Linked DNA regions of Ovis aries. The protein of the gene in region 4 interacts with the protein of the main gene of each other region in a pairwise test. Links are inferred from orthologs where the notes say so. Each region holds a gene or a part of one and is shown on either strand. Other genes may lie near its edges. The genes, in order: ABI2, HOXA9, RAD23A, TRIP6, METTL17, NEDD9 and PPP1R16A.

Region 1 (3,989 bases), on a different chromosome or scaffold from region 4:
CACAATTTAAACAGTATGCCTTTTCAGAAGGACACCACCATTTTTCTTCCTTTCCTCTATTTTTACACTAAATGTAATCCACATTTAGAATATTATCTTATTTTTATATTCTCATGCATAAAACCAGGCATTTAAGGATGCTGAGCAAAGAACCTTATCATGTTACCTATCAATAAATGTCTTTTTCCTGCTTTACAGGCAAAAACTGTCCTTGCACAAAATAAAATGAGTGTCAGGTGAAGTTAACTTGAGCTAGTGGTTAGGACATGTTGCTATAATAAGGCTAACCTGACCATCAGATCACTAATTGACTTGCATCTATTGCAGGGTCACAGGCTGCATCAGAAGCCCTGCTGGTCAGTTCGATGGTTACAGGAAGAGCCAGCCAAATGTGCAGCTGAGTCAGCACAAATCCACTATCACCATGTTCTATTTATCAACTTTACTACAAACAAATCATGTACGAGTTGTCATCTGTTGAGAGAACGCCAATAATATACCCACTGGATCCTAATAGCACCTATTTTAGGTTCTAAATTGAAGAAACAAGGTATTTTAAAATCCAAATCCATTTCTATTAATCAGCACTTATATTCTGAATTTTAAAACACCGCATTAAATTCTGAGTCCCACCGCTAAGACAAATGATGGCAGCAACATTCTTCTCCTTTGAACCGCAAGGAATATAGTGATGACAATGGTTGATCGCTTCACTCTCTCAGCTTTATCAACTCAGGTACTTTTACCTTTAGGTAACAACTGCAACCTAAGAGGAACTATACCTTCAAATTACAATAAAAATTATCTTCCAAACAAAGAGAACTTTTTTAAAAAAAATTAGCAGTGATAACTGCAACCCAATCACTTTCCACCCTGTTTCTCTTCTGAGACCTGTAACTCTTTCCCATATGTTGCACAAGGAATTGTAACGACTACTTCAGTCCTTTTAATTTGCCTCTCCTAGAGACTCTGAATTTCCAGAGTGAGGATAGCATAGTTTCCTCCAGTCCTTCTTCCCACCTGCAGCCCATTAAGAATATAAACTGACGCTCAAAATGGAATTCATCTGCTAAAGATCAGCCTTCCCACTAACTATACAATGAAATTCTGTAGACACTAGCTACCTATCAACTCTTAACAATGCCAGGCCATATTACACTTTCAAATATATTTAGTGAAAACTAAGCATCTCAACCTTTTACTCTCTCCTACCACACTCAGTATCAGCAAAGCACCCCATGAATATGGACATCTGTACTGTCTATATGAGCCTTTGACCCAAGACACACTCTATCTTTTCCTGCTGGCCATACTTTCAACTTTCTCTTTGGAGGGAAAAGCCTTGGATTATGTCTGATTCATTCTCCAGTACAAATATTCCATACAAGAAAATATAGTGCTCAGGATATGTCCAATCAAGTAATATCTTACAACACTATCCTTGATTAACCATATGATCCTTACAAAATTTATGAACCTATAAATTTTAACACCTTTTTTTTCTTTGGTTCACACCAAGACTTGAGAATGCTTCCCAATATAGCTGATGTTAGGAAAGATGCCTGGAGAGATGGAGGTGGGAGAAGGAAAAAAGGCCATAGTGAAGGAACAATTTAACACATTGCTTCCATTTCCACCTATATCCCAAGAGAATTTAAATGGGAAGGGAAAAGATGGAGGTAGAACCTATGATTCAGAATAAGCTATAAAGAAAACAAAAGATGCTGACTTTGCAAACTGTGCATCTTAAACTATCCTTTCAAATAATTTTTTAAAAAGAATTGTTTTTAATCACATAATCTTGCTTCTTCCAGAAGAGGCTCAATTTCATCTCACCCAATACCCCCCGCCTTCATACACAAACATACAGTGCTATCACTGAGTCCCGATGCCAAACCAACCATCACGGAAAATTTAAACCGTGAGAATTATTTCCCATTTCTCTCTGAAAGATAATCACAAAAAATTTCCCTGCAGGCAAATTAGCTATTTCTAACGGGCTTGGAGGCGGGTGGCAGAAGGGAATAAACCATTATCATGCAGCTTCTCATTCTCCATAGAGAAGAAAACTGGCATTAACTTCCAACAAGGGGGACAGCTGCTCTTATACTGTATCCTCAGTTAGAACCTAAAAACAAGGCAAAAAAACCACGCTGAGCTTTTGATACATTCAAATGAATATAAAGCTACGGCATTTTACTTTGCAGCAATATAGCGCCTCAAAAATCCTCCAGAGATTGGGGGCGACCCATTAAACCCCAAATCCTTGCCATATGGGGGAGTAGGATTCTGTCAAATAGAAAATGCCACTCTCCGCCTCCTCCGCCATCGCGAAAATTGACCGGCACCGATTGCGGAGGCGGCCGAGGGAAGAGAGGAGGCGGGGACACACACACGCACACACACCCCGCACCGAGAACTGATTCACGGCTTTTGAAAAATGCTTGAAAGCTACAATTTCCTCCAACCGGAGAATTCTCACCCATTCTCCCGCTCCCACCCTGCTTCTACCCCTGCTCAGCTGCACTGTGTCCCTGCTGCGGCCTCGGCCCCGTGTGCCCTACGCCCCCAGGCGCGGCCCCCGGGCCGGGGGTCCCCCACGCGCCGCTCAGCAGCCAGAGGCCCAACACGCCCAGGCCGGCAGATGCGTCGCACCTGGATGTAGTTGTTCTCGCAGTAATCGGCCACCCGTTCCAGATTCGTGTAACTGTCGAAGAGGGCCCGGCGGCCCCCCGGGATTTCCTCCTCCAGCAGCATCTGCAGCTCCGCCATCTTCACATCCTCCTCCTCATACAGACCGCAGAGGCAGCGGCGGCAGTAGCGCCAGGGAAACCCAAGACTAGGAGAGGAGGAGCCGAGGCGACGGCGGCGGCAACCCGGGAGGAGCGAGAAACACCCCCTGAGCGCGCGACAGGGGAGGGGGCAGCGGGAACGGGGGCGGGGCGCGAGCCGATGGACTCGGAGGACGGTCACCGCGGCGACGGCCGGCCCGGCGCGCGCACGCGCGCTCCTCTCCCTCCACCCCCGGGAGCCCGAAAAAGGTTCCCACCCTTGGTCGCGCCGCCCGCCCCTCCCCCACATCCGGCGTCTCCTAGCGACCGCGGGAGTGGGGGCCGGGATGCGCGCGGGAGTTGAGCTCGCGGTTAACCCTTCGGCCCCCGCAGGATGCGTGGCTGGGGCAGTGCACCCCGCGGCCTTTGTTAGTCCGGCGTGAACGCCCACCCGGCTCTGCGGTCTTCCCGCCCGCTTCTTCAGCGACTTTCCTCGGCGTTATCCTCAACCTGGGGCCCAACCTTATGGTAGTGGGCCTGAGGGATAATATTAGCCCCACTGAACTCCCATGCAGCTTTAACTGCGCCCCACTTTTAATTTTTCTCATCTTTGACCGTATTCATCCTCTTTGGATAAATAAATTTCAGTTTCCTAATCCCAAATTTCCTGCCCTCCAGCTTCTTTGCACCTGTTTGCCAATCAACAGTTTCCCCTGCCAGGTTAGCCTCGGTTCTTTTCTCCTTTGCCCATCCTCTGGCCTTCAGCTTTTCCCACTTGCTCTGTGCTACTCTTCAGTGACAATCGTTTTTATCACTTTCCTGAGTCTATCAACTTTTTTCCTCATCTACTAAGGATTTAAAGTTTAAAAAACGATTTTGCTGGTACTTTCCTTCCTCACAGGGCTATTACATGGATAAAAGTTTATATGAAAGCACCTTGGAAAACGTTAAATGCCACAAAAATTCAAGGTAGACCATTTTGGTCTTGCAGTTACTATTCTGTATTGTATATTTTTTTTCCCCTAAATCTGACTACTCCACACATGTAATTTTTAAAAACTGAAATTTCTGACAACTGCTGAGATATTATAAAGTCCATGACCTTTATTTGTACCATGGAAAGTCAAAGCTGACTGCCTTTGCAGTTTAGAGCAAGATCTATTATTTCAAGTCTTGTATTTGTGATCTCTTGGCCCGCCTAGTGATTTTGCCCCTCCT
Region 2 (3,946 bases), on a different chromosome or scaffold from region 4:
AAGCTTGTTCACTTTTTCTTTAATATGTGGATTATATATATACAATGGACAAGATAGATCTAGAGAGCATGTAGAAACTAAAATGTCCGCATTTCAAAAATGGAGAAAACCATGAATCTATGCATCCCGGAGAATGCTTTCGTTTTTTGTTTTAAAATTTTATGTCACTGGGAAATCCTTACAGCTAGTTTACAATCAAAGGTTAACAGCCTAGTTACACAGAAGACATATTCCACTACAGAGCTATACTCTATGCAACTGCTTTCTCCCCTCATAAACAACCTGAGTTCAAATCGAATTCTAGCTTTCACAATCACAACGGGTGCATCACCCATCACAGAAGTTTGAGTCACAAAACATAATTACCACAATAAAACACAGTATTCAAGTATCTGGGCAGATTGCTCTGCCGCACAAACAGCAAATTAAATTAACTACACACAGTCTAAAAACTATACAGCCCGCCGTCAATAGTTGTGCATTATAAAAAGGTAGTTTTTTTGTTTAAGTCAGGAACAGGTAGATTTTTTTTTTTTTAATATATACAAGCTAGCACATAGAACCATCATCGCTAATGCCCCTGCCTTTTTTTTTAAATCTTATAGAAAATGGAAAGCTTACAATACCTCCTCCATCAAACTGGCAGGCCAAGGAACCAGCCTGAACAGGGTTTGCCTAGGACTTGAGGCCTGGAGTATCCAACCGCCTTGTTGGAGGCCTAGGTGGAGGCTGGGGTGGGGTGGGGTGGGATGGGGGTAGAAGGGGACGGGCAATTCTCTCTAGCTCACTCTCTCTTTTCTAAACGAACTCGAGTCGCATCACTCGTCTTTCGCTCGGTCCTTGTTGATTTTCTTCATTTTCATCCTGCGGTTCTGGAACCAGATCTTGACCTGCCTCTCCGTAAGGTTGAGCAGTCGGGCCACCTCGTACCTGCGGTCCCGGGTGAGGTACATGTTGAACAGAAATTCCTTCTCCAGTTCCAGCGTTTGGTGTTTTGTATAGGGGCAGCGTTTCTTCCGCGTGGAGCGAGCGTGGAGCCAGTTGGCAGCCGGGTTACCTGCGGGTGGGGGACAGAGATTGGGGGATTTAGGAGGTGAATAAGCACACCCACCCCTCTCCGCTGGGGGCTAGGAAAAGTCCTGGGGTCTTCAGCCAAAGTGCAGGACGCTGCTGAACTGGTTAGGGAGGGCAGCCGAGCCTCGGATACAATGGAACCCTGGCAGACAGACGCAGGGACGGTCACTTACAATTGCACGCCTGTAAACCTCGGCTCCCCCCCCCCCATCCCACCCAGACCCTTCTTTCTCCTCCTCTGTCCTCCTTCCCCCTCCTCTGTTTCCTCCCACTCTCCACACGTTGTGCAAGAAGTGAAATTTGCAAACAGGTCTCTTTCTTGTCACACGGGAGGAAACCACGCTGCCATGCGTTCCTTAGCAAGCTTAATATTCTATTCTCCCTCTCACTGACTCTCTTTCCTTCCCACCTTTCCATCTACTCTCCCCATTCCTTATTTTGACCTCCCTGGAAGGCTGTGGGAGCTGGCCAGGCCGGTATGGCGCCCCTAGGCACCCCAAGGCCGTAGATCACTTCTCCAGTTTATTTGAAAAATCTAGCACGGGGACTCTCGCGTCCCGGTCGCCTGCAGCCGCATCTTAGGCAGGGTTTACGCCGCCACTGGCTGAAGCAAGAAGTGGAGAGAATCGGCCGTCTTCCCCAGAGTCCCGGGTCAGGCTGCCCGGGCTGCAGTTGCTACCGCCGCTCCCGGACAATCTAGCCGCACAAAAGGCTTTCTCTGACGCGTCGCTTTCGAAGAATCTCGCCCAGAGTATCTCTGTCTTGGTCCCGGGCAAGCCAAGGAGAGGGTCACCAGGTCTCGGGTCGTCCTGCAGCGCCTGCCCCGCCCCCTCTCTAGGCAGCCGCCGCCTCCCCTCCCCCGAAGCCCGGCAGGCCGGCTTGTCACTGCTTTCTGGACTTGGGGGGCCCCATCCGAGGAGGCTTCCCAAACAGCAACTTCTGGCTCCCGGCCTTTGCTCAGGAGGCTCCCAGCGAAGGCGAATTCAGGCTCCGGAGAAAGCTGGAGGGCCGGCAGATCCGGGTGGCCGGCGTGGAGGCGGTGGCCGGCCTGGAAGGAGGAGACACTTACTGGGATCGATGGGGGGCTTGTCTCCGCCGCTCTCATTCTCAGGATTGTTTTCGGAGAAGGCGCCTTCGCTGGGCTGTTTTTCTCTATCAACTGGAGGAGAACCACAAGCATAGTCAGTCAGGGACAAAGTGTGAGTGTCAAGCGTGGGACAGTCACCCCTTCTGGCCGACAGCGGTTCAGGTTTAATGCCATAAGGCCGGCTGGAGGGCAAGCCCGCGAAGGAGAGCGCGCCGGGCGTGGGCTCCAGCCAGGAGCGCATGTACCTGCCGTCCGGCGCCGCCGCCGCCACGGGCGCCTGGGGGTGCACGTAGGGGTGGTGGTGATGGTGATGATACACGGCCGCGGGCACCGTGTTGGCGCCCGCCGCGTGCACCGGGTTCCACGAGGCGCCAAACACAGCCGCCTTGGACTGGAAGCTGCAAGGGCTGAAGTCGGGGTGCTCGGCCAGCGCCGCGGCCTGCCTGGGGGGCTGGCCCAAGGCTCCCGGCGCGTAGCGGCCCGCGCCCAGCTCATCCGCGGCATCGGCGCCCAGCAGAAATGAGTCCACGTAGTAGTTGCCAAGGGCCCCGGTGGTGGCCATCTCCGTGCCCCGCGCCTGGCCGGCCAGGCCCGACCCGCGGAAATTATGAAACTGCAGATTTCATGTAACAACTTGGTGGCACCAGGGGGGGGGGAGTACAGTCACCTAATAAGTTGCCGGCGCCCGCGCCCCCATTGGCCGCGCGCGTCACGTGCCCGCCCGGCAGAACAATAACGCGTAAATCACTCCGCACGCTATTAATGGCCCGGTGTTTTGCAGTCATAATTTTTATAGCAAAAGCCATATGTTTTTATGCAAAGGGATCGTGGCGCTCCGCGATCGGGTTTGTTTTAATTGTGGCCAACGAAGATTAAAAGATCAAATCTGGCCTTGCCTCTGTACTCCCTCCCCCCCCCCCCCGCCACCTCCAGACACACACTTCTTAAGCGGACTATTTTATATCACAATTAATCACGCCATCAGCAAGACGCGGGTCCCGCGCGCGAGTGCGGCCAGCAGAGCCCCTCACATAAAATTAGACAATAATTGAAGCCATAAAAAGGCAGCCAAATCGCATTCTCGCTCTACTGTATTTAAATCTATATTTATGATATTTCATAAGGAGTTATTGTTCAGAAGCCACACAGGCTGGTGGGAAGTTGGGAACGACCAACAGATTCGTTTGGCTCCTCGTGACTCGCAGCTGTAAAAATTTACGAGGACTTGGAAAGGTTAAATTAGACTGTTGTGTTTGGTTGGCGAGCTCCCTGTAAATAATCCTTGCGGTCCCTAGAGATGCGAGTTTACCCGGGGCTGGTCGAGAAAAGTCAAATTCAACGCAGTATCCATCCCAGACTGAGCCACCACCACCTCTGCCGGAGCGCGCTGGACAGGGACAGGCCACCGAGAAGCCAGCACCAATTGTGAACTCCCCTCCGGCATCTGCCCGACTGGAGCGCAGGGCGCCCGGGCAGCTCCCCAAATCGCTGCTGAGCCTCCAGCGAGGGCCCCACCGAGGAGCGGCCAGGGAGAGAGTGGCCAGTCTACCCTGGGGCCACGGATTTGAGGACCTGATTGTGCCGCGCGCTCGGCTCCATCCCCGCGTACACGCACGACCAGCGCGCCCCGCTCGCGGTCCGCCGGAATCGCTATTCACACCCCGGGCGGACCCAATAGGCGTCCCAGCCGTGTGTGCCGACCTTGGAGGCCCTAATGCTGAGCTCTGCAAGCCTCGTCGCATTCCCGGAACCCGAACTGCGAAAAAACACGAAGCAGGATCAATG
Region 3 (4,215 bases), on a different chromosome or scaffold from region 4:
GAGGTGGGGTTTGAACCCACACCTTAGCCACCAATTCATGTGAACTCTTTCACATTGAACCACATACACATCTCTTGCTGGTGAAGGAGCAAGACTACACATCTATTAGCTTTAAACACATTTTCTGACTACTAGCCAGTGTTAAAAGCTGTTAATTCCTTTTATAGTCAGGGAAATAGATTCAGAGATGTGATCTACCCCAATGGCCTTCACTGGCCAAGTCAGGGTTTGAACTCTTGAAGGGAAAGAGGTGGCCCCAAGGGAGGGAGTGAAAGTGTCAGAAGAGCCTGTGGGCCTGTAAGACTGGCATAGGCCCACTTGGTTGCGCCCCACAAGGCTGCCATTAATGTCCAGCGGGTGGTTGGGAACTGATGTCTAACTGCAGGAGAGGGAAGAGAATTCCTCACCCTAGTCTGACCTAGGCTTGTGAAAGCTGACTAGCACAGGATATGCTGTGAAGGGAGAAGCTGCAGGACCTGGTAATAGTTGGGTAAGGAGTGAGGCGGCAGGCCACAGCCTGGTGTTTTCTCATGTGAATGGTAAGAAGAGCTGGTTAGCTGGCAGGTAATGGTCAGTTCAGGATGGGGGTAGGGTGGAAAGTCCACCCACTAAATGGAAGACAAGTACATCACCTCCATCCTGTTTGCCAAAGCACCTTCAGCTTTGGCTAACCAACCCTTCTACTCTTTGTTCCATGGGCCTAGCCCCACCCTTCTGGGAGGCCTCCAGAATTGGCATATCCGGGGAAAGTTTTAAGGAGAGAATTTTGTGTTTAGTGTACCTTGAACGTTACATCTTCCTCAAGTACTCAGATGGAGTATTTGATGGAGTCAGATGGAGATAGTTGGGTGAACAAAGTGATCAGGGGAGGAGCAGCAGAGGGAGGGAGCTGTTAAGATTCATTCTGAAAATCCAGCACTTCCTTTAGGCATTAATGAGGCCACAGAATGGCATTGTGTCCCCACGTCCATGGTCAATTTCCGTGTTTAACTGTTGGTGACCTTTCAAGTATCCTTTCTAGTTCTTTCAGGGCTTGATAGGCTTCCTGTCAGGTGGCCAGACCAGAGTAAGGCTCATTTGGAACGAGCAAAAAGACATTAAGATTTTGTGGAAGAAATGAAAATTTAGCAAGTACATTGCTTGTTAAACGTCAACAAACTCATGGGCGTGAAACTGGGGGTCTCGGAGCCATTTTGTGGCCTATGACGTCACCGCTAACGGGCATGGCGTCACTCGCAGGAAGCCACTTGATGGTAGAGCAAGAAGTACCCCTTCCCTCACGGAATAGAATTTAGTCTGCGCATGCTTTGCTCGAGGCCGCGCTCGTGCGCATGCTCGCGATGGCCAAGGGGGCGCGCTCATGTCACGTGTTGTGGTGGTCGGCGCGCGCACTGCCTGCCCCGGAAGCTGTCGGCGTGCGGCGCGGCTGGGCGCTAAGATGGCGGCGGCGTGAGTTGCATGTCGTGTGAGGATTCCGGGGCCTCCGTGTCGCTCGGGTCCCACCATGGCCGTCACGATCACGCTCAAAACACTGCAGCAGCAGACCTTCAAGATCCGCATGGAGCCTGATGAGACGGTGCGAGCCAGGCCGGAGCTCCGGAGCGGGAGCGACGGGTGCAGCGGGTGGGGTGGGGGCGGGGAGGCCGGGATCCCGACGACAGAGGCGGGGAAGACGGCGCAGGGTCGCGCCCTGCCCATTCTCCCTACAGGCCTGACTTTCCCAGATACCCTGATGGTCCCCGGCTCTGCCCCTGGTGGCTCGGGCGGCGCTCTTGGGTCGATCTCCAGGCGAAGCCCCACCTCCGGGGCTCCCGCCAGGTCCTGGCTCCAATGTCAGCTCCCTCGCGGGGCGCGGGATCCGCAGGCTCAGATTGCCGGCCGGGCTGCTTTCTCTGGAATGGGTCCTCCGAGTTCCCACTTTTGTAGGCTTTGCCTCGGGACCTTGGTGGCCAAATCTGGGAGTAGTGATCAGGAGATGCCGGGTGATGACAGCAACTATGATGATAATGATAATAAACGGTCTGAGTTTCAGTGGTCCGTGTTTGTTTTTCACTAGTCGCTGAGCGTTTTCATGATGTTTTACTAACTCTGCAAAGTAGGCTTGTCATTTGGGCACTCTTGCGTGTCCTCACTTAACAGATGTGGAAACTTTGAGCTTGAAGAACTTTGCTATAGTCGCATATGCATACAGCAAGGCGTGGCGGAGCTGATTTCAATTCGGATTTGCCTCAAGTCTCGAGAGCCCACGGTCTAAAGATGATGCGGTGCTTTTGACCGGAAAGTGACTTAGGACCTAAAAAACGTGTATTTGGCACTTTTTGCACAATTTCCCCTATGAGGGAGATATTGAAGTTCATTTTTTGTAAAAAGGAAACAAACTCAGATTATTTTGACCAATCCAGCTGTTTGGGCAAGTTAGGTAATCTCTGTGCCTCTATTTTTCTCAAATATAAAATAAGGATATGGAGCTTGCTTCCTGGTGCAGTGGCTGAGACTGCACTTTCAATACAGGGGGCCTGGGTTCAATCCCTGGTTAGGGAGCTAGATCCCATATGCCAAAACTAAGATCCTATGCAGCCAAATAAGTAAGTAACTTTTAAACAATACAAAATGAGGCTCATAGTACCTATTCCACTCAGTTACTACAAGGCTTTAAACCTGTGACGTATACATTTATTAATAGCACTATCAAACGATTCTCAGTAAACACCACTGTCAGCAACCTTAGGTCTCCCCTTTATTTTGAATTGCATTTCATCATGTTTACATCATTTGAAATATGTATTCGTTTTTTTATTCTCCCACATGAGTGTCCTCTATGAGAACAGGGACACGTGTTGAGTCTTTGTGCTCTGTCCTCTGCCTAAAACTGCACCTGGCACACATTCAGTGTTCAGTAAAGATGTCATTGAATAGTAGAATGGTCTAGTGTGCTTGATTAGGAAGCCTAGCAATTCGGCCATCAGGGCTTGCAGCCTGCCCCCAAACTAGAAGAGAGAATCGGGGGGGTTTGCAATGATCATCTACCCCTTCCTCCAGGTGAAGGTGCTAAAGGAGAAGATAGAAGCTGAGAAGGGTCGTGATGCTTTCCCCGTGGCTGGACAGAAACTCATCTATGCTGGCAAGATCCTGAGTGACGATGTCCCTATCAGGGACTATCGCATTGACGAGAAGAACTTTGTGGTCGTCATGGTGACCAAGGTGGGTGATGTCTGCTGGTTCGGAGGGTGGGTGGATTGGCTGGGGAACTGGCAAACAGCCTGTGCCGAAGAGAGATTAGCCATGGACAGGGCGGGGCGGAGCTGTGGAGGGTTGTCGGGGCTAGATAGGGGAACTGATGCCTGCTCCCTTTTTCTGGGTGTCATAGGCCAAAACCAGCCCAGGCACCTCAGTACCTTCAGAGGCCTCACCCACTGCCACCCCGGAGTCTTCCACATCCTTCCCGTCAGCCCCTGCCTCAGGCATGTCCCACCCCCCACCTACTGCCAGAGAAGACAAAAGCCCATCGGAGGAATCTGCCCCCACGACGTCCCCGGAGTCTGTGTCAGGGTAAGGCAAGGAGCCGCAGCCCCAGTTTGGGCCCTGTCTTCCCTGCCCCTTTCAGTGCCCACTGTCATGGTTCCACACACCTGGGGGGAGGGCAAGCCGCCAGAAGCCAGGGTCCGATTTCTCTCTCTTGAATTTGCAGCTCTGTTCCCTCTTCAGGTAGCAGCGGGCGAGAGGAAGACGCGGCCTCCACGCTAGGTGGGTGGGTGGTCCCCCAATTGAAAATGGCTGGATGCCCCAGGCATCAGCTGGCCTCCTGTGGGCATGGGAGGGCCGGGAAGCTGCCCTTCCTTCTCCTCGGTGACCCAGCCTTTGCTGCTCCCTCCACAGTGACGGGCTCTGAATATGAGACAATGCTGACGGAGATCATGTCCATGGGCTACGAGCGAGAGCGGGTCGTGGCCGCCCTGAGAGCCAGCTACAACAACCCCCACCGAGCCGTGGAGTATCTACTCACGGTGAGGTGGGGCTGCTGCCTCTCGGGGGGTTCTCAAGGGAGCATGCGGACTTCGGTGCTCTGAAGGGTGGTCAAAATCTGTCCCCCAAAACCTTTGGGTTAGGGTTCTAGCCAGGAAAGAACTCCTGCAGGAGCCGGGACGAGAGCGGTGGGGTGGGCCTGGGAGGGCAGAGCGGAGGCCTCCTGTGTCTCCCACCAGGGCTGAGTATGCA
Region 4 (3,947 bases):
TCCGAGCCGAGGTGCGGGAGGTGGTGTGGGGCGAGGGGGCTGCCTCCGAGGAGCCGGAGGAGGAGGAGGAAGGGGACTTTGTGAACGGCAGGCGGGGAGACGCTGAGGCAGAGGCCCTGGCATGCAGCGCCAACGCCCTGGTTCGGGCCCAGCAGGGGCGTGGTAGAGGAGGGCCTGGTGGGCCTGAGGAAGGGGGCGGCGAGGTGGGGCCCACCACTGCCCTCACCTTCTTGTACCTGCCGCGGCCGCCTGCTGATTCTGCCCGCTACCTGCGCTACCTGGCGCTTCTGGAAATTCTGAGCCGCGATCTGGGCCCCGCGCTGCTCATTCACGGTGTCACTCCTGTTACTTGCACTGATCTCTGAGGCCCATGCCAAGCAGAGAGAGCATCCAGGTCCGGCGGCCCACCGTGAGAGGAGGGTGAGAAGGGGAAGGGCTGTCTTGTGCCAGCCTCGCACGTGGGACTCAGCCCCTGGTGGACGTATTAGGGCATCCTGGTCTCCTGGCCCTGGGTGCAGTTACTAACGCAGGGCAGCTGTCCCCACCACCTTCCTGGGGAAGGAGTCCACAGCCCTCCCTTCGGGCCTCCCTCCCTTCACCCGTGCCTTGCCGGGGGCTGGGTCTCCGCTTGTGACTCTAGGCTACCTCAGTCTCCGCCCCCCACCTCGCCCAACAGACCCCCCCACCCCCGACCCCTGAGGTTGTGATGTTTTTGTTCTTTTATTTTTCTAACTGCTCAATGTGAATAAAAGATCAAAACACTAAATACCGGCTGAGCATTTCTGGAAGCAGAGGGGAGGGGGTGGGTACGTGGGATGGAAAGAGGGAGAAATCTGTATGGGGGATGGGGACAGAGGGGCGTTGGAGAGACTCCGAGCAGGGAGGGGGCCACGTGTGGGACCTGGGGCGCCGGCCTGGGGGTGGGGGGGTGCTGGTGGAGATGCAGGCTGCCGGCAGCCTGAAGACTCGAGGCTCCCGGGGCTCCCGAGGAAAGCGCTCCCTGCTCGCAGGAGGGGGCCTGACTCGGGGAGGGACGGCAGTTTAGGGCCTAGGGGGCCACGTGACCCTCCCCCAGGAATGCGATGATGTCACCGGGGGCGTGGCCATCCCCAAAATTAGGGAGGAAGGGGAAAAAAAAAAAAGCCAGAAAAAGTTTCTTTCCTGGAGTCCCAAGCAAGGTGTGGGACGGAAGAAGGGATCCAAGTCAGAGCCCCGGGGCTCCGTGGGGCCCGACCGGCTGTCTGGAGTCCCCCTTTCCAGACCATGTCCGGGCCCACCTGGCTCCCCCCGAAGCAGCTGGAGCCTGCTCGAGCCCCTCAGGGGAGAGCGCTCCCCCGAGGGGCCTCGGGGCCACCCCCGGCCCACGGATCAGGTAAGGCAGCCCCAGTGAGGCCCAGAGGCCCCCGGGCCACCAGCGCTCTCGGCTCTGCCTTGCGCCGTCCACGCCCCACTGAGCAGGCCCCTGCTGCCCCTTCCCCTCCCAGCCCTCCCTGCCCCTGGCCCTATTCTCGGACCCCAGGTGCAGGGTGAGGGGCGAAGAGGGACCCAAGACGGTGGCCTCCACGGGCGTCGTCACCCTGACCTTCCTCATCCCCACCTTGGCTCTCTCTTCCCTCACCCCAGCGCTCCAGCCCCACCCCCGGGTCAATTTTTGCCCCCTCCCATCCGAGCAGTGTTACCAGACCCCCGGGGGACCAGAGGACCGGGGGCTGGCCTGGGTGGGGTGCCATGGAGCACCCCAGCACTCGCAGGTGAGCACAGGCGCTGGGGGATGGGGCGATTCAGGGCAGGAGGGGAGACCGTGGGATTGCATTTCTCCTTGCTTTTTGCTCCTTCCCCAGGGCCTCCCCCCAGACAGGGGGGGCTTGCGCCCGGGAAGTCTGGATGCTGAGATAGACTCCCTGACCAGCATGCTGGCTGAGTTGGACGGGGGTCGAGGTCACGCCCCGAGGCGATCTGACCGGCAGGTGACTCCCCTGTCCTGCCCCTGCCCCTTCCGATCCTTGACCCCGCCCCTCCCCTGTTCCCTACTCTGAATCCACCCCCCCATTCCCAACGCCCCCCACCCGCCCACAAGCCCCATGTGAGGGATGCTTACTCCGGGCCCTTGTCAAAGCTGGTTCTTGCCTGGGTGCCTCAAGGGGTCGGGGGAGGGGGGTTCCTACAGATGGGTGTCCTGGAAATGGGCCCAGCTCACTCCTGCTCTTCGTCTCTCCCCAGGCTTACGAGCCCCCTGAGCCCCCTGCCTACCGCTCAGGCTCAGGCCCGTTGAGGCCGAATGGAGGGGCGCTTCCTCCCCCGCCGCTCCCAGGGTCCCCCTACGGGGGCCCCACTCCGGCCTCCTATGCTACAGCCAGCACCCCCGCCGGCCCGGCCTTTCCTGTGCAAGTGAAAGTGGCACAGCCTGTGAGAGGCTGCGGCCCTCCCAGGCGGGGGGCCTCTCAGGCCTCCGGGCACTCCCCGGGCCCCCACTTTCCTCTTCCAGGCCGAGGTGAAGTCTGGGGGACTGGCTACAGGAGCCACCGCGAGCCAGGGCCGGGGGTTAAGGAGGAGGCCCCGGGGGTCTCCGGCCCTGCAGGTGCAAGAGGAGGCGGCTACGGGTCCCAGGTACGCCCTGGGCCCTGGGATTTCGGGTCCATCAAAGACAACTGGATGCTGACTGGGTGGGGTGTAGGGGAAGGAGTGTTAATGTTGGAGGTCTGGGATGTTGGGGCTCTGGATCCCCTGTGGATGTGGGGCAGGTCAGGACTAAAAGACGGAGGGGCCTAGATCTACACCCTGGCTGCCAGAGGGGCTCCCCCGGCCCCTGGGCTGGGACTTGTTCTGTGATAAGCTTTCTGGGTAGAACGGTCTGGTCACCCTGGGGACCCTCAGTGACAGCACTGGGAGCTAGAGGTAGGGTCAAACCTCTGAGTCTCACCTCCCAGGTGCCCCTCAGCCAGCCTCCCGAGGAGGAACTTGAGAGACTGACCAAGAAGCTGGTGCACGACATGAACCACCCGCCCAGTGGGGAGTACTTTGGTGAGCTGACCCCCGACCTCAGGGAGGTGGGACTGCAGAGTCAGATGGACAGCGGATCTGGCTTCCCGGCCTGTGAGGGGGTTGACCCTGTCCCTTCCTGTCCCCAGGCCGCTGTGGTGGCTGCGGAGAAGACGTGGTCGGGGATGGGGCCGGGGTCGTGGCCCTGGATCGCGTCTTCCATGTAGGCTGCTTTGTGTGTTCTACGTGCCGGGCCCAGCTCCGGGGCCAGCATTTCTACGCTGTGGAGAGGAGGGCTTATTGTGAGAGCTGCTATGTGGTGAGTGGTTGGGGCCCAGGAGGGCTTCCATGCAATTAGAATGAGTTGGAAACTAGAGGAATAGGGCTTGAAGCAGGGGAACTGACATTGATAAACGAGAAGAAGGGATGAATGAAGTAAGGAGCTCCACACTGGCTGCTGGAAAAGAAGGACGATATTCCCTCATACGTGTGAAGCATTTATTTATCTTTGGCTGCGCTGGGACTTTGTTGCTGCCAGCCGGCTTTCTCTAGCTGCGGTGCGTGGGCTTCTCATTGCGGTGGCTTCTCTTGTTGCAGACCACGGGCTCTAGAGTGTAGGCTCAGTAGTTGTGGTGCATGGGGTTAGTTGTTCTGAGGCGAATGGGATCTTCCCAGACCAGGGATCGAACTCATGTCCCCTGCCTTGCGGGGCAGATTCTTAACCACTGGACTGCCAGTGAAGTCCCAGGCATTTATTTTAGATTTATAGGAAGGTGCTAAATTCTCACAATATCCCAGTGAAGCAGCTACTGCTGCTGAAGGAAAATGAAGCTCAGAGAGGTTAAATAACTTGTCCAGGAAGCTGCAGTGCTGGGGTCAGTACTCAGATCTGTTCAAGGTCACCTTTCACTGAATCCCATGCAGGGGGCTACAGAAATAAGATGGATGGGCTGGCCGGATGCCTGTAA
Region 5 (3,987 bases), on a different chromosome or scaffold from region 4:
GCATCTTCAACAGGGTCATCGCATCAGACCCATCTTTAACTTTCCGGCCTCTCCTCTACTCCCCAGTAAAAGACCCTTTCTGGTACTCCTTTGCTTTGCAAATGCCTTCAACTTTGGAAAAGCCCTTCCTTACATTTTGTCCTCACCTTTCAGCAGCTTTTCTGCCAATTCCAACATGGCAGCTGAGCTGTCCACGCACATATACTCACGTAGGCTCTGACCCCAAGTACTATGAGCAGCCCTAAAGTGGCAAAAAATAAATCTTCAGTTCTTACGACAAAGTTATTCCTACAAGAGACCCCTCTGTCCCTAACCCAACCTTGAGGAAACAGAGCGCTATGTTAAAATAGTTGGAAAAACTAGCAATCTTATTTTCTTGTTTCATCTACAACTGTTAAGAAGACTCAAAAACTATATGAACACACACACAAAAATCTTGCTGACATGTAAATCCCTGTCCGAGATCAAATTCCTTTCCTTTTTTATCCTTCTAAATGTGGGTTTTTTCACTTGACATTTCTTTAAGTTCTGACCCTAATTTATATACCTTCTCATGCCTTGTCTAATCTGAGGGAAGAAACACATCAGTTCCAATTTTCTCTTCTTCCTTTGGTTCTCCAGTGTCTTGATATTGACGTGGCATAAGCTAGCTCTAACTCTCTAGAGTTGGAACTGACAGAGACAGAGAAAGATACTCACCAGGTGACAGAGCCAGTACCCGAGCCAAAGTCCATCAAGGTTTGTGGCTGGAAGTCTGGAAGGCGAGCTTGGATCTGAAGAAATATTCAATACCCCACAGTGGGGAAGACAGACACTTATTTAGGGTCTTGGTAAACATGAATTAGGGGACCGCAACAGAGGAAATGAGCTGTGAATGTCAAGATTCAGTGTAAATGCCTTATAGAATAGAAAGGTCTTAGAACAGTGATTCTAAACCTTTTTTTGGGTCAAAAATTCCTTTCAGAGGATAAAGACAACCTCTCGAAAAAAATGCACATGTAATGTCCCAAGAATCTTGCCCCAGATTACTTTATGAAAAAGGGAACTGATAGTAAAGTTTCTGGTTGGAAGTTGAGGGAATTTCACCTCATGGAAAGCTCTGGAAACTGCTGCAAAGCCACCATCCAGTCTTGCTGCCATATACACCAGGCTCAGTCCCTCATTGTAGCTGCCAGAAAAATCAGACATACCACTGGGAATTAATCTCTATCCTGCAGCTACCCTCCAGACTTTTAGGAAATGAAATCTTTGCAAAGGGCTCTTCCAGCTCAACCCTTTCACTGATCAACACAGACAAGTCTTAGGGAGGCTTATAAACCAGATTGCCTTTTCACACACTAAATGGTGTAATTGTATTTCCCCAACTCTCCTTCTCAAAAGCCAAACTTTTCCTTCTTCTGCAGCCCTTCTAGTCTCCCTTACCTCAATTCTTGCCAATGATAGGTAGTTCTGCGCAAGGCACGCAGGACTTCTTCATGATGTTTCTCTGTCTGACATGAGTCTGGGGTAAGAACAAGCACTGGAAGTAAGGACCTAGGAAGAACAGGGCTCAGATACAATATCTGAATTTACTGCCTGCCATTCCCTACCAATTCCCACATGGAAAATGCTTAAGAGAGAAGCCAAACTAGAGAAGAGTTTCAGGTAAGAATAATAATGACCACCACCACCATAGTATATCAGATAATATATTGCCTCTAACAGCAATTCATTCAATTCAACCAACTCTATCTCACAGGTTTTGTTCTGTATTAAAAGCAAGTGTAATAAAAAGTTAAAGGATAGGATAGACAGTACTTTGTAGATTTCTTCACTTCCCCCCAATTTAATAATGTGATGTCTCCAAAGTTCCTATAGGAAGGAAAGGGGCTTGAAAAACTTGTCTTACAATTGTGTTCACTTCAGTACTATTTTACCTACGGAGTGCCTACTACAAACCAGGTACTACAAGAAGTCAGGGAATAACTCATTGATCTTTACTAAAGCCCTGAATTTAATAGGCAATCTCTGAAATTACTTTTCTTCTTTTAGAAAGGCAACATTATGAATAACTACTCTGATTAGAAAGTCAAATAAGAAATCGCAGTATCTATTTAAGAGGCTGCAGAATTATTACTAGCTCTTCATTTCCCTCTGCTCTTTCTATTTGGCTTACTCTTTATTTTTGAAAAGACCTACCTGCGTTTTCCAGGATTTTTTTCTCAAGAAGAACAGCCCGTCTTTGTAGCTCCTCTGGCTCTACAGGTAAATGCCGGCTCCAGAGATAATTGGTTAGGGCTTGCACCTGTTTCTCCATATTGGGCATCGAGCTCTCTATGGACCAAAGATGCAAAGAGGAATCACTTGTACGCAGGGTCCAATCTTCGCTTCTTGAGCTTCCATTTCCCATCTTTACTCACCTAGCAGCAGTAACTGCGCGGCTTCAGCCAATCCTTGCGGCAGCCGCACGCATGACAGCTGCAGGATGCCAGGGTGCCGGCGATGGGGCCTCTTCCCCAGGAAATCGGACTTGTTATCCACGTGGGATACGCCGGGCACGAGGGCAGCAAGCGCCTGCAGAAAAAGGAAAGCTAATAGGGGGCACAGAGGATGGCTGCGGGAGGCTAAAGGAGGAGCTGCCGAAAGCGCACCTCCTCGGAGAGGAGCTGTTCTTGAGGTCCAAAGCTTCTTTTGAAAGCAGGGAAAATAGGTACTCACTCGGAACTGGGGCGCTATTCCAAAGCTGCGGCGCCATCTGCCTATTGTCAGCAGATACCGCGACCCTCTAACGGTCGCCATGGCGCCAGCGGTGAACCGGAACCGGAAATTTAGGTGCAGTGTCTGTCACTCTCACTAGCTGCAGCGAACATCCTGCGCGAACATTGGCGCCGGGCAGTAACAGCCAATGCGGAGAGCGAGTGCTTGCTAGTAGCCAATAAACAATCGATCTGTAAATCGCCTTGGAGGCCGTTTGTGCACCTCAATTCCAGCGTAGCTAGCCGGAAGCTAGGTGACTTCCACCCTGCGTTGTGATTTGTCTCCGCCTCCAGAAATTGGAGGGGCGGGGTTAGGTAGGTATGGGCTGACCCTATGCTGGGTTCGCCAGAAACGCGTCACAGGACGGCGAAGGATTTGTGTTTGTATTAACTACCAGTGTTCTTTCTTTCACCTTCTGGAGAACACTGAAGTCTTAGAGTTTTTACCTCCTGTGTGAAATGGAGTAAAGTATAGTCGCTCAGTCGTGTCCGACTCTTTGCGACCCCATGGACTGTAGCCTACCAGGCTCCTCCCTCCATGGGATTCTCCAGGCAAGAGTACTGGAGTGGGTTGCCATTTCCTTCTCCAGGAGAGACTGCAGTAATGGGAAGATGATCAAGGGAAGCCAGATTTAGGCGACCAAATTGATGGAATAATAGATAATAGATTTAATGTTTCTTACTTGTTAGTTTCTCTTAATATTAAACCAGTACTTTTAAGCCAGGTAAATAGCTACCATGAGAACCTTATGTGACAGGTAGTGTGGCAAGCGCTGTTATATGGTACTACCTTATTTAGTCCCCATACTTCTAAAGGATAGATTTTGCACCCAAGGAAAGTGAAAGTTCAGGTGGCTAAATATTCCGCTTGAGATCCAAGAGCTTGTTAGGTGAGAACAAGTTCTAAACCTTGGCAATCTAAGTCTGATCTTCACCTTTAAACATATGCTCTGCTGGTAGTATTGGTACATAGAATGCAAGTTAGCAAGTGCCAATTTGTCAAGTGCTGATGACAAATTGGTACTTTCTATCTGGGGGCTTCCCTGGTAGCTCAGTTGGTAAAGAATCTGCCTGCAATGCAGGAGACCTGGGCTCGATTCCTGGGTTGGGAAGATACCTTGGAGAAGGGAATGGCAACCCACTCCAGTATTCTTGCCTGGAGAATCCCATGGACAGAGAAGCCTGGGAGGCTACTGTCCATGGGGTTGCAAGAGTCAGACACGACTTAGCAACTAAACCACCACCGCCATCT
Region 6 (4,217 bases), on a different chromosome or scaffold from region 4:
TACATACATTTAAATGCAAAAATCATAAGGGTTCAATTTACTGAGCTATAACATTTTGCATACTCCTAATATCACACTGAAATGTCATCTCTTCCTTTGAAGACTGCCTGGGTTGCCTCCCCTTGCAGCTCGAACATTTCTCTATTAGAAAACTTACTACAATTATTTCTCTGATGCCCACTAGACTATAAACGCATGAAAAAAAAAAAAAGGGACAATGCTTCTTGGGGCCCCCAGTTCCGAACAGTATCTGGTATATAACAAGGTATCAGTGAAAGTTTGCTAAAGAAGCAAAATGACATTGGAACAGATAGCCTGCAGCTTTAAATAAGGGAGCTGTATAATTTTAAAGTTAAGATCTGCTCACTGTGTCTACTAAATCACCAGTAAGGAATGTATGATAAGAATTGTCAAGACACAAAAGGGAGAAAAGGCAGCAGTTGGAACACAAATAAATCATTAGGTTCCTAAGACGCCTCACAAAGACGTGAAACTCTTTTTAATCATTCATGGAGCCTCTAAAACTGGTGGGTGGTACAAATTGCCACCACAAGATTTATATAGTAAAACCTTCAGCTTTTATAACATGTTTAAAAGCAAATGAATGTTACCTGTCCAAAACCTAATGGAGAACATTTTTGTAGTTCCTGTTTGATATGCTGACACCTGAGATTTTCTATTTTCAAAAGAAAAGCAGTGCATAATCAAATGTGTTGACACACAGATATTTCTTTGGTATCACTTACTATTTTGACCAAGGGATAGGTTACATGAATTGAAATCTGATTTCGCGGTTGCTTCTGAGTCATATCAGGAGTTGCTCTTCTTTTTCTTAATTAAAAAACTCAAAAGAAAATATATATTGTTTTGAATATAACTAAGTAAATGTTTTTTAATTCCTGTGAGGAATTACTACAGAGGAGTTCTATGATATATTCAACTCACAATGGGTTTATTGGGACATAACCTCATTGTAAGTGGAGAAAGGTAAATAAATCCAAAGTATATAGAATGAAGGAAATAGTAAAGAAAAGGAACCAATGAAACAGAAAACATAAATGACAGAGAAAATTAACACAAAACATTTTTTTCCTTTTGAAAGAATAACAAATTTGAAACCCCCCACATGGGTTTCCCTGATGGTTCGGATGGTAAAGAATCTGCCTGCAGTTCAGGAAAGCCAGGTTTGATTCCTGGGTCAGGAAGATCCCCTGGAGAAGAAAAGGGCAACCAGCTCCAGTATTCTTGCCTGGGAAATCCCATGGAAAGGGGCGCCTGGAGGCTACAGTTCATGCGGTCACAAAGAGACAAGATTGAACAACTGATACTTAAGCCCTACATAGGCTAATCAAGAAAAAAATAAGAAAAACCACTAACACCAGGAATAAATGTGTGAATATACTACAGATGCTACATATATTATTAACAATTTGATGTTAATAAATTCAACAGCTAGATGAAATTCCTAAACAATGCAACTTACCAAAACAGACACAACAAGAAATAGGAAATATTGCTGAAAATGCATTTATTAAGTAAACTGAATTTGTGATTGAACTCTTTCCTTAAATACATCAGGGTCAGATGGTATCACTGGTGAACTCTTTTAAACATTAAGGTAAGAAAAGGTATCAAACTTACATAAATGTTTTCCAAAACAGAAGATGAGGAAACGCTTTGCAATGTGTTCTATGAGGTCAGCTAGACCCTGGTACTAAATCTGACACAGTCATTTAAAAAAAAAAAGAAAGAAAATAAAAACACCGGTCGTTTCCAACTGGCTACCTAGTCTGGTTTCCTTTTCCCTCCCCCAACAGGCACACACACTGCGGGGAGGGAAGGGAAGAACAGGTTAGCTGGTGGGCGACATCATCAGACTGTCCCCAACTGAACAAGGAAGTTGATGCAGCCCCATGTGACTTTCTTCAGGTTCCTGCAAGATCTAGACAGAAGCCAGAATTCGGCAAAGAAATGTAAGATACACGACTTAGAAGATAAACCACTTGATCTGCTAAGCAAACATTATTGCCAAATGCCTTAAGTAACTGATGGCTTGTAAAACGAGTACTTATGAGAGAGTTCTTTGAGATTATGCTATGCCAGCAGTCATTGATGTCACCAGTCATACGAACAACCCACATGGGGACACTGAAGATGAATAAAATAATGGAGTGATCATGAAATCAGAAATACAAACAGAAAAAGGAAATGGTAAAATTCTGAACTGGAACAAACACAAAGGAAGGAAACCTATAGCAATCCTCGGAACGCTGATGCAGAAGAAGAAGGCAAAGAATAAGATTTTTTTATCCTTAAATTATGCAGAGAATAAGGTCGAAGAGTGCCTAAAATCTTTATCGGAAGTTCCATTTTTATAAAGCACATGTCTGGGTTAATGAAGCTGACAAATATCTCAAAAGGTCTCTTTTCTCCTTCTGGCGTGCAGAGGATTTTCTGGCCAGGCAGTTCTGAGAAAATGCTTTGAGACAACGGCAACTGACACATCCATCTTTTTGAAAACACAGCAAAAATAGGTGCTGGAGATGGCGAGAGTGTCACCGGAAAGAAATAGGAAAGTGAGAGACTCACCTCTTCCATTATCACTGATAATAAGATGGGCATAGCGGGGGAAGAGCAATCACCAGTATTGCTGAGGTTCATCAGGGAATCAAGGTCACAGTGAGGAATACGGACTCTCTTCCTTCAGAAGCTGATGCAGACATTTTAGCTGTGAAATTTCACTCCGTGCTAATGGAAGAGCAGGGGACAAACATGCACTGATGCGGTCTGGCTTAGATTATGTCTAGTGGACTTTCCCCCGAATGCAAGTCATGCTGACTAGACTTTTAGGGAATAACCCCATGGTATGTACACAGTCTATTTTTCCTCTGCCTTAAATATGCGGTTGTCAGAAGCAGTGTCTGTTGTGGGAATTATCTGTTGCTTTGTGAACAATTAAAGATGTTTGTTCTTTTTTCTGTTGATCACAACTGCTATAGAGCTCAACAATGTAATATCTGTTCTCTTTTAGAACAGTGAGGGATAAAAGGCAAATGAACCAAAGCAAATTTGCCATTCTCCATGAATAGCGGGTATAATGCTTTTGGAATTTTTGTAGAACTCCTGCAAATCCTTGCTTTATGTTTAGATGGCATAAATAATGATACAAATGTTAGCTAGAATAACTTTATAGCTGGTTGAGATTTTGTTCCCCGTAGTGCACTGACAGATTTTTCATTTTAATTATCATTGTTGTTCATCAAAATGTCCTATTTTTTAAAAATAGCCTTTGGGAAAATTCCCAGGGCCACACTTCCGATATTTCTTTGCTGCCAGCACCTTTACTGCTGAATTGCATTATATGAAGGGATGGAAAATATCTATATTTATTGTAAATTTTGATTTGAAAAAACCGTGATGCAGCACCAGACTTGATTTTAAGTCGAATTTCCTAGAACTTCCTTGGGGCTCAGCAAGATAATCTCCACTAACCCTTGAGAATTACTGTAAACAAATACTTGCTGTCCCAACAATGAGGCACATTACTCAGGACCTTACAGATATTTTCTTAGAATAGCACCTCACCATTCTTAAATGCTTATCTCTTACAGCCTCAGTCACAGAACAGCTCACAGTCAACACCATGCCAACATGTAGCAAAGTGACTAATCCACTCTCAACACACTCTCTGCCAACCTTTGCTGTTGGTGCTGCGTGCTAAGTTGCTTCAGTCATGTCTGACTCTTTGCAACCCTATGGATTGTAGCCCACCAGGCTCCTTTGTCCATGGGATTCTCTAGGCAAGAATATTGGAGTGGGCTGCCATGCCCTCCTCCAGGGGCTCTTCCCTGGATCGAACCCAAGGATCGAATTCAGGCCTCTTAGGTCTCCTGCATTGGCAGTTGGGTTCTTTACCACTAGCGCCACCTGGGAAGCAGGATCAAACAAAACACGGAGGGAAAGACATAGAGCATCCATTAACCATGTACAAAGCCCCCTACCTGTCTCACTTCAATTTTTTTCTTATTATTTATATATGGCTGAAGGATTTCTCTGCAGCTCAAATTGTAAAGAATCTGCCTGCAATGCAAGAGATCAGAGTTCAATTCCTGGGTCAGGAAGATCCTCTGGAGAAAGGAATGGCAACCCACGCCAGTATTCTTGCCTGGAGAATTCCACGGACAGAGAAGCCTGGCAGGCTACAGTTCACGGGGTCA
Region 7 (3,479 bases), on a different chromosome or scaffold from region 4:
TTGCTCCTTCCTTATGGTCTTGTGGGGCAAGCTCTTCAGGCTGGGTTCGCTGGCAGGCCCCAAGGCCAACTCCAGAGAGATGCACGTCCCACATGTGGGTAGGAGGGGGTGCCCAGTCTCTCCAAGGGAACATGAGGGACCTGTGAGTGGCCATCAGGGAGGCAGAAAGCCCTGCCACACCTGGGTCTGGCCGGGGCCTCATGGGTGGGGAGCAGGCAGAGGCAGGACACGGAGCCCTGGGAGACCCAGGCAGGCAGTCTGGGCAGCTTCTGTGCCGGCCTTGCAGTCGGCAGAGCAGGCCAGCAGGGGGTGGGCTGCCCGGAGCAGGGGTGCTACCTGGAGAGCTCTTTCCTGGCCTCACTGGTCCCCCATCCTGTCCCCAGGAAGCCTCTGAGGCCAGGCTTGCAGAGGGGTTGTGGAGTGCCAGCCACATCCAGGGCCAGGCAGACCCGAGAAGCAAGGCTCTGGGTACACTGGGGGTCCGCAGGCTGGAGAGGCCTGACCTGACCTGATCTGGCCCAGGACGGTTTCCTTCCAGAAGGAATGGGCACTCACTAGTACAAGTCTGGTCAAAGGAAGGCTGGTCAGTCTCTAGATGGCCATGAGGTCTGTCCGAGTGGGAAGGGGGACTCCAGGTGGTCAGGCTGAGCTGCAGGGGGCACCTTCTAGGTGGAGCCTGGCCACGGCCTCCTGAGCAGTGTCCTGAGGCTGTGCCCAGTGATCACCCCAGGCGTGCTGGGCGGGACAGTCCATGGTGGGGACTGTGGGGCTGTGCCACAGCCTAGCTGCTTGCCTGACTGTCTGTCCTGACAGCTCCAGGTCAGGCAGGCCACTGCACCCATGTTCACACAAGCAGGGCTTGCATGTAGCCCAGGACAGTTGAGGGGGCATTGAATGGCCTGAACTAGAAAGCCTGGCAAGGAAGAGGCCCAGACTCGAGCGGTGAGCAGCCCATGGCCAGGACAGGCCGTGCCCTCCACTCTCTGCAGCTGAGCAGGGTGGCTTGGGCACCCTCAGGAAGCTGGCAGAGCTGCAGGAGAAAGTGAGCTTGCCTAACCCAGCCCGAGGGCACATGGGTCAAGGGCTGACGTGGGGTCTTGAGGGGCCGCCCGGCTGGAGGCCTGCTCTTTTCTCTGAGCTGCAGAGAAATGCTGAGTGTGGGGCCAGAATGCGGGCCGCACAAGGTTCTCTGTGGGCAGGTCGGGGCTCTGGGGGGGCGCTGGCCTGTCCCCGTCCAGCCCTGACGGCTTCCTGCTTCCTCCTCTCAGGCCAGCGGGAGGGAGTACCTGCGTGTGCAACTCGGCCACTGGCTACTCCAAAGGGGGCCCTTCCTGAAGACACAGTTCCCGGGCCCTGGGTGCCCTGCCTGCCTAGAGAGCATCAGCCTCGGGTACTGGGGGCCAGGCCCCCCGGACTCTGGACACACACCCGCCCAACCCTCCCTCCTGCTGCACCTCCTCTTAGCACTGACCCCCGGAAGGCTGGAGGTGCTGGGGGTCGGTGGGGGAGGAAGGCCTGGCCATGGGTGCCCCGGGACCCCACCTGGTCTCCTAAGACTGGAAGGCAAGGGCTCCCAGGGGTGTCTGCCCTGCCCTGCCCTGCCCCTGTGTGAGGAGGCGGGAGCTGCAGCCTTGTCATCTGGGTGATTAGCTTCAGACCCTGGACTGACGCTGGCCAAGTCCCGCCTGCTTCCTGCAGGGTGTCCTCCTGACCCAACGCGGGAGGGAGGCCCTGCCCATCGAGCGGCCAAGGTGCTCAGGCCCCGGGAGGCGGGCTGCAGGTGCCGTCCCGCGCTGCCTTTCTGCCTGGGGCCCGTGGCCCTCACACCTGCCCGGGCCTGGTCACAGCTTGAGGCCTCCTAACCCAGCCTTGCCAGGCACAGAGGCCACGAACCTCAGGAGGGGATGCCCCCGAGGGCTCCAGTCCAGCCGGCTGCCCCCCACCTCAGGCCCAGCCTGGCCCCCGTGCTGCCCCAGCCGGTGCCCCCCGCAGGCCCCGTGGCAGGCAGCCCCCACCATGGCCGAGCACCTGGAACTGCTGGCAGAGATGCCCATGGTGGGCAGGATGAGCACACAGGAGCGGCTCAAGCATGCCCAGAAGCGACGGGCCCAGCAGGTGAAGATGTGGGCCCGGGCTGAGAAGGAGGCACAGGGCCGGAGGGCTAGCGGTCAGCCGCAGAAGCGGGTGCTCTTCCCGCCCAGCGTCACCCTCCTCGAGGCGGCTGCCCGGAATGACCTGGAAGAAGGTGAGTGTGGCTGAAGTCCAGTCCGGGCCAGCAGCCCTGTCCCCACTCCTCACGCAGGCCTCAGGAGCCACAGCCCCCTGGTGGGAGCCCAGGGAAGCCTGCCAAGGGCCCTGCTGGGCGAGAGGCCAAGGCGGGGTGGGCTGGGAGCTGCCATCTTCTCTGCCTCTGGCCAGGGTGCTGGGAGTTGCCCATGACGCCTGCCTGCTTGCCTGGGTTCTGAGCCTTCGCCTCCATAAAGGACACATGCAACCCCCCCCCACCCCCCCCCCCGCCGCCAGCAGATTAGACCCAGGGTGCAGGGCTGCCCAGCAGGCCCCCCTCAACACCCGCCCTTAGTTCTGCCTCTGACTTCTTCCTTCCCGGAGGACAGGCTGGGCAGGACTGCCTTCCTGGCACTGCCCTCTGCCCGCTGTCAGCCCCTCTGCCCTCCCAGGGAGGCTCCTGAGGACTCCTTCTGTCTCCTCCCGGGCGGGGCCTCTGCTGTGGCAGCTCGGGTTCAGAGGGCGAGGAGGGGCAGGGTGTGCCCAGAGCAGGGAAAGGGGGCTGGGCATGGCGGCCGTGGGTCAGCCAGCAAACAGGAGCTGTGGGGTGAGGGGGGCAGCTGGGGAGGGCTGGGCCTGGGTACCCTGGGCCTTCAGTCTTGGCCACCGAGGTGCGGTGGGGCGGGCTGCAAGTACCAGGGGAGGGGTGAGTGTGAGTGTGTGAGCGTGTAAGGCTGGGGGAACACGGGACCTGACCGAGGGGTGTCTGAGGGTGCATGCCGGCCCCCAGGCCTGGGGGGCCCTTTCTGGGAGGAGTTGGAGGGCTGGAAGGCCCTAACTGGGAAGGCATTCTGAGGTTGAGGCTGAGGCAGGGCGCTGCTGTCTGTCTATACCCTGCCTGGGGGCCCAGCCCCGAGCCCTCGGCCTGGGCTCTGGGGTCCCTCATGCCTTCCCTGTGCTCCTCTGCTATCCTGGCTACAGCCTGCGACCCAGGTGCCCTGGGCAGGGGCCTGAGCAGGACTTATGGGCCTGCAGCCAACTTCTGCTCCCAAGCCCTGACCGCCTCTGTCCTCCCTGCAGTCCGCCAGTTCCTCGAGAGTGGGGTCAGCCCTGATCTGGCCAATGAGGATGGCCTGACGGCCCTGCATCAGGTCAGCCCCACTGGTGGTGGGAGGGGAGGCTGAGGCTGCGGCGTGGGCTCGGACACTCAGGCTGGGTGCTCCGCAGAGCTGCATCGATGACTTCCGGGAGAT

The links.
Region 1: the proteins of TRIP6 (region 4) and ABI2 interact in binary tests that used the Homo sapiens proteins (3 or more experiments, as listed by UniProt). The link is inferred for Ovis aries from reciprocal best matches to the Homo sapiens genes TRIP6 and ABI2.
Region 2: the proteins of TRIP6 (region 4) and HOXA9 interact in binary tests that used the Homo sapiens proteins (3 or more experiments, as listed by UniProt). The two-hybrid records come from large-scale screens. The link is inferred for Ovis aries from reciprocal best matches to the Homo sapiens genes TRIP6 and HOXA9.
Region 3: the proteins of TRIP6 (region 4) and RAD23A interact in binary tests that used the Homo sapiens proteins (3 or more experiments, as listed by UniProt). The two-hybrid records come from large-scale screens. The link is inferred for Ovis aries from reciprocal best matches to the Homo sapiens genes TRIP6 and RAD23A.
Region 5: the proteins of TRIP6 (region 4) and METTL17 interact in binary tests that used the Homo sapiens proteins (3 or more experiments, as listed by UniProt). The link is inferred for Ovis aries from reciprocal best matches to the Homo sapiens genes TRIP6 and METTL17.
Region 6: the proteins of TRIP6 (region 4) and NEDD9 interact in binary tests that used the Homo sapiens proteins (3 or more experiments, as listed by UniProt). The link is inferred for Ovis aries from reciprocal best matches to the Homo sapiens genes TRIP6 and NEDD9.
Region 7: the proteins of TRIP6 (region 4) and PPP1R16A interact in binary tests that used the Homo sapiens proteins (3 or more experiments, as listed by UniProt). The two-hybrid records come from large-scale screens. The link is inferred for Ovis aries from reciprocal best matches to the Homo sapiens genes TRIP6 and PPP1R16A.

Annotation. Positions count from the first base shown.
Region 1 is NC_056055.1:205,328,495-205,332,483, reverse strand, and holds the start of ABI2 (abl interactor 2), read right to left. Parts: upstream 2,811-3,989; 5' UTR 2,773-2,810; coding exon 2,656-2,772; intron 1-2,655. UniProt on the Homo sapiens protein: Regulator of actin cytoskeleton dynamics underlying cell motility and adhesion. Functions as a component of the WAVE complex, which activates actin nucleating machinery Arp2/3 to drive lamellipodia formation.
Region 2 is NC_056057.1:70,456,190-70,460,135, reverse strand, and holds the start of HOXA9 (homeobox protein Hox-A9), read right to left. Parts: upstream 2,807-3,946; 5' UTR 2,724-2,806; coding exon 2,144-2,723; intron 1,058-2,143; coding exon 819-1,057; 3' UTR 1-818. UniProt on the Homo sapiens protein: Sequence-specific transcription factor which is part of a developmental regulatory system that provides cells with specific positional identities on the anterior-posterior axis.
Region 3 is NC_056058.1:10,918,096-10,922,310, reverse strand, and holds the start of RAD23A (UV excision repair protein RAD23 homolog A), read left to right. Parts: upstream 1-1,415; 5' UTR 1,416-1,504; coding exon 1,505-1,576; intron 1,577-3,039; coding exon 3,040-3,201; intron 3,202-3,367; coding exon 3,368-3,549; intron 3,550-3,688; coding exon 3,689-3,744; intron 3,745-3,876; coding exon 3,877-4,004; intron 4,005-4,215. UniProt on the Homo sapiens protein: Multiubiquitin chain receptor involved in modulation of proteasomal degradation. Binds to 'Lys-48'-linked polyubiquitin chains in a length-dependent manner and with a lower affinity to 'Lys-63'-linked polyubiquitin chains.
Region 4 is NC_056077.1:36,218,561-36,222,507, reverse strand, and holds the start of TRIP6 (thyroid receptor-interacting protein 6), read left to right. Parts: upstream 1-1,145; 5' UTR 1,146-1,263; coding exon 1,264-1,372; intron 1,373-1,623; coding exon 1,624-1,751; intron 1,752-1,841; coding exon 1,842-1,967; intron 1,968-2,220; coding exon 2,221-2,607; intron 2,608-2,927; coding exon 2,928-3,021; intron 3,022-3,128; coding exon 3,129-3,298; intron 3,299-3,947. Other genes in the region: SLC12A9 (solute carrier family 12 member 9), read left to right, coding at 1-365. UniProt on the Homo sapiens protein: Relays signals from the cell surface to the nucleus to weaken adherens junction and promote actin cytoskeleton reorganization and cell invasiveness. Involved in lysophosphatidic acid-induced cell adhesion and migration.
Region 5 is NC_056060.1:24,452,291-24,456,277, forward strand, and holds the start of METTL17 (methyltransferase-like protein 17, mitochondrial), read right to left. Parts: upstream 2,810-3,987; 5' UTR 2,779-2,809; coding exon 2,698-2,778; intron 2,554-2,697; coding exon 2,400-2,553; intron 2,314-2,399; coding exon 2,179-2,313; intron 1,502-2,178; coding exon 1,423-1,501; intron 1,169-1,422; coding exon 1,087-1,168; intron 774-1,086; coding exon 700-773; intron 242-699; coding exon 147-241; intron 1-146. UniProt on the Homo sapiens protein: Mitochondrial ribosome (mitoribosome) assembly factor. Binds at the interface of the head and body domains of the mitochondrial small ribosomal subunit (mt-SSU), occluding the mRNA channel and preventing compaction of the head domain towards the body.
Region 6 is NC_056073.1:44,062,537-44,066,753, reverse strand, and holds the start of NEDD9 (enhancer of filamentation 1), read right to left. Parts: upstream 2,802-4,217; 5' UTR 2,590-2,801; intron 1-2,589. UniProt on the Homo sapiens protein: Scaffolding protein which plays a central coordinating role for tyrosine-kinase-based signaling related to cell adhesion. As a focal adhesion protein, plays a role in embryonic fibroblast migration.
Region 7 is NC_056062.1:13,409,804-13,413,282, reverse strand, and holds part of PPP1R16A (protein phosphatase 1 regulatory subunit 16A), read left to right. Parts: intron 1-1,268; 5' UTR 1,269-2,016; coding exon 2,017-2,245; intron 2,246-3,306; coding exon 3,307-3,377; intron 3,378-3,453; coding exon 3,454-3,479. UniProt on the Homo sapiens protein: Inhibits protein phosphatase 1 activity toward phosphorylase, myosin light chain and myosin substrates.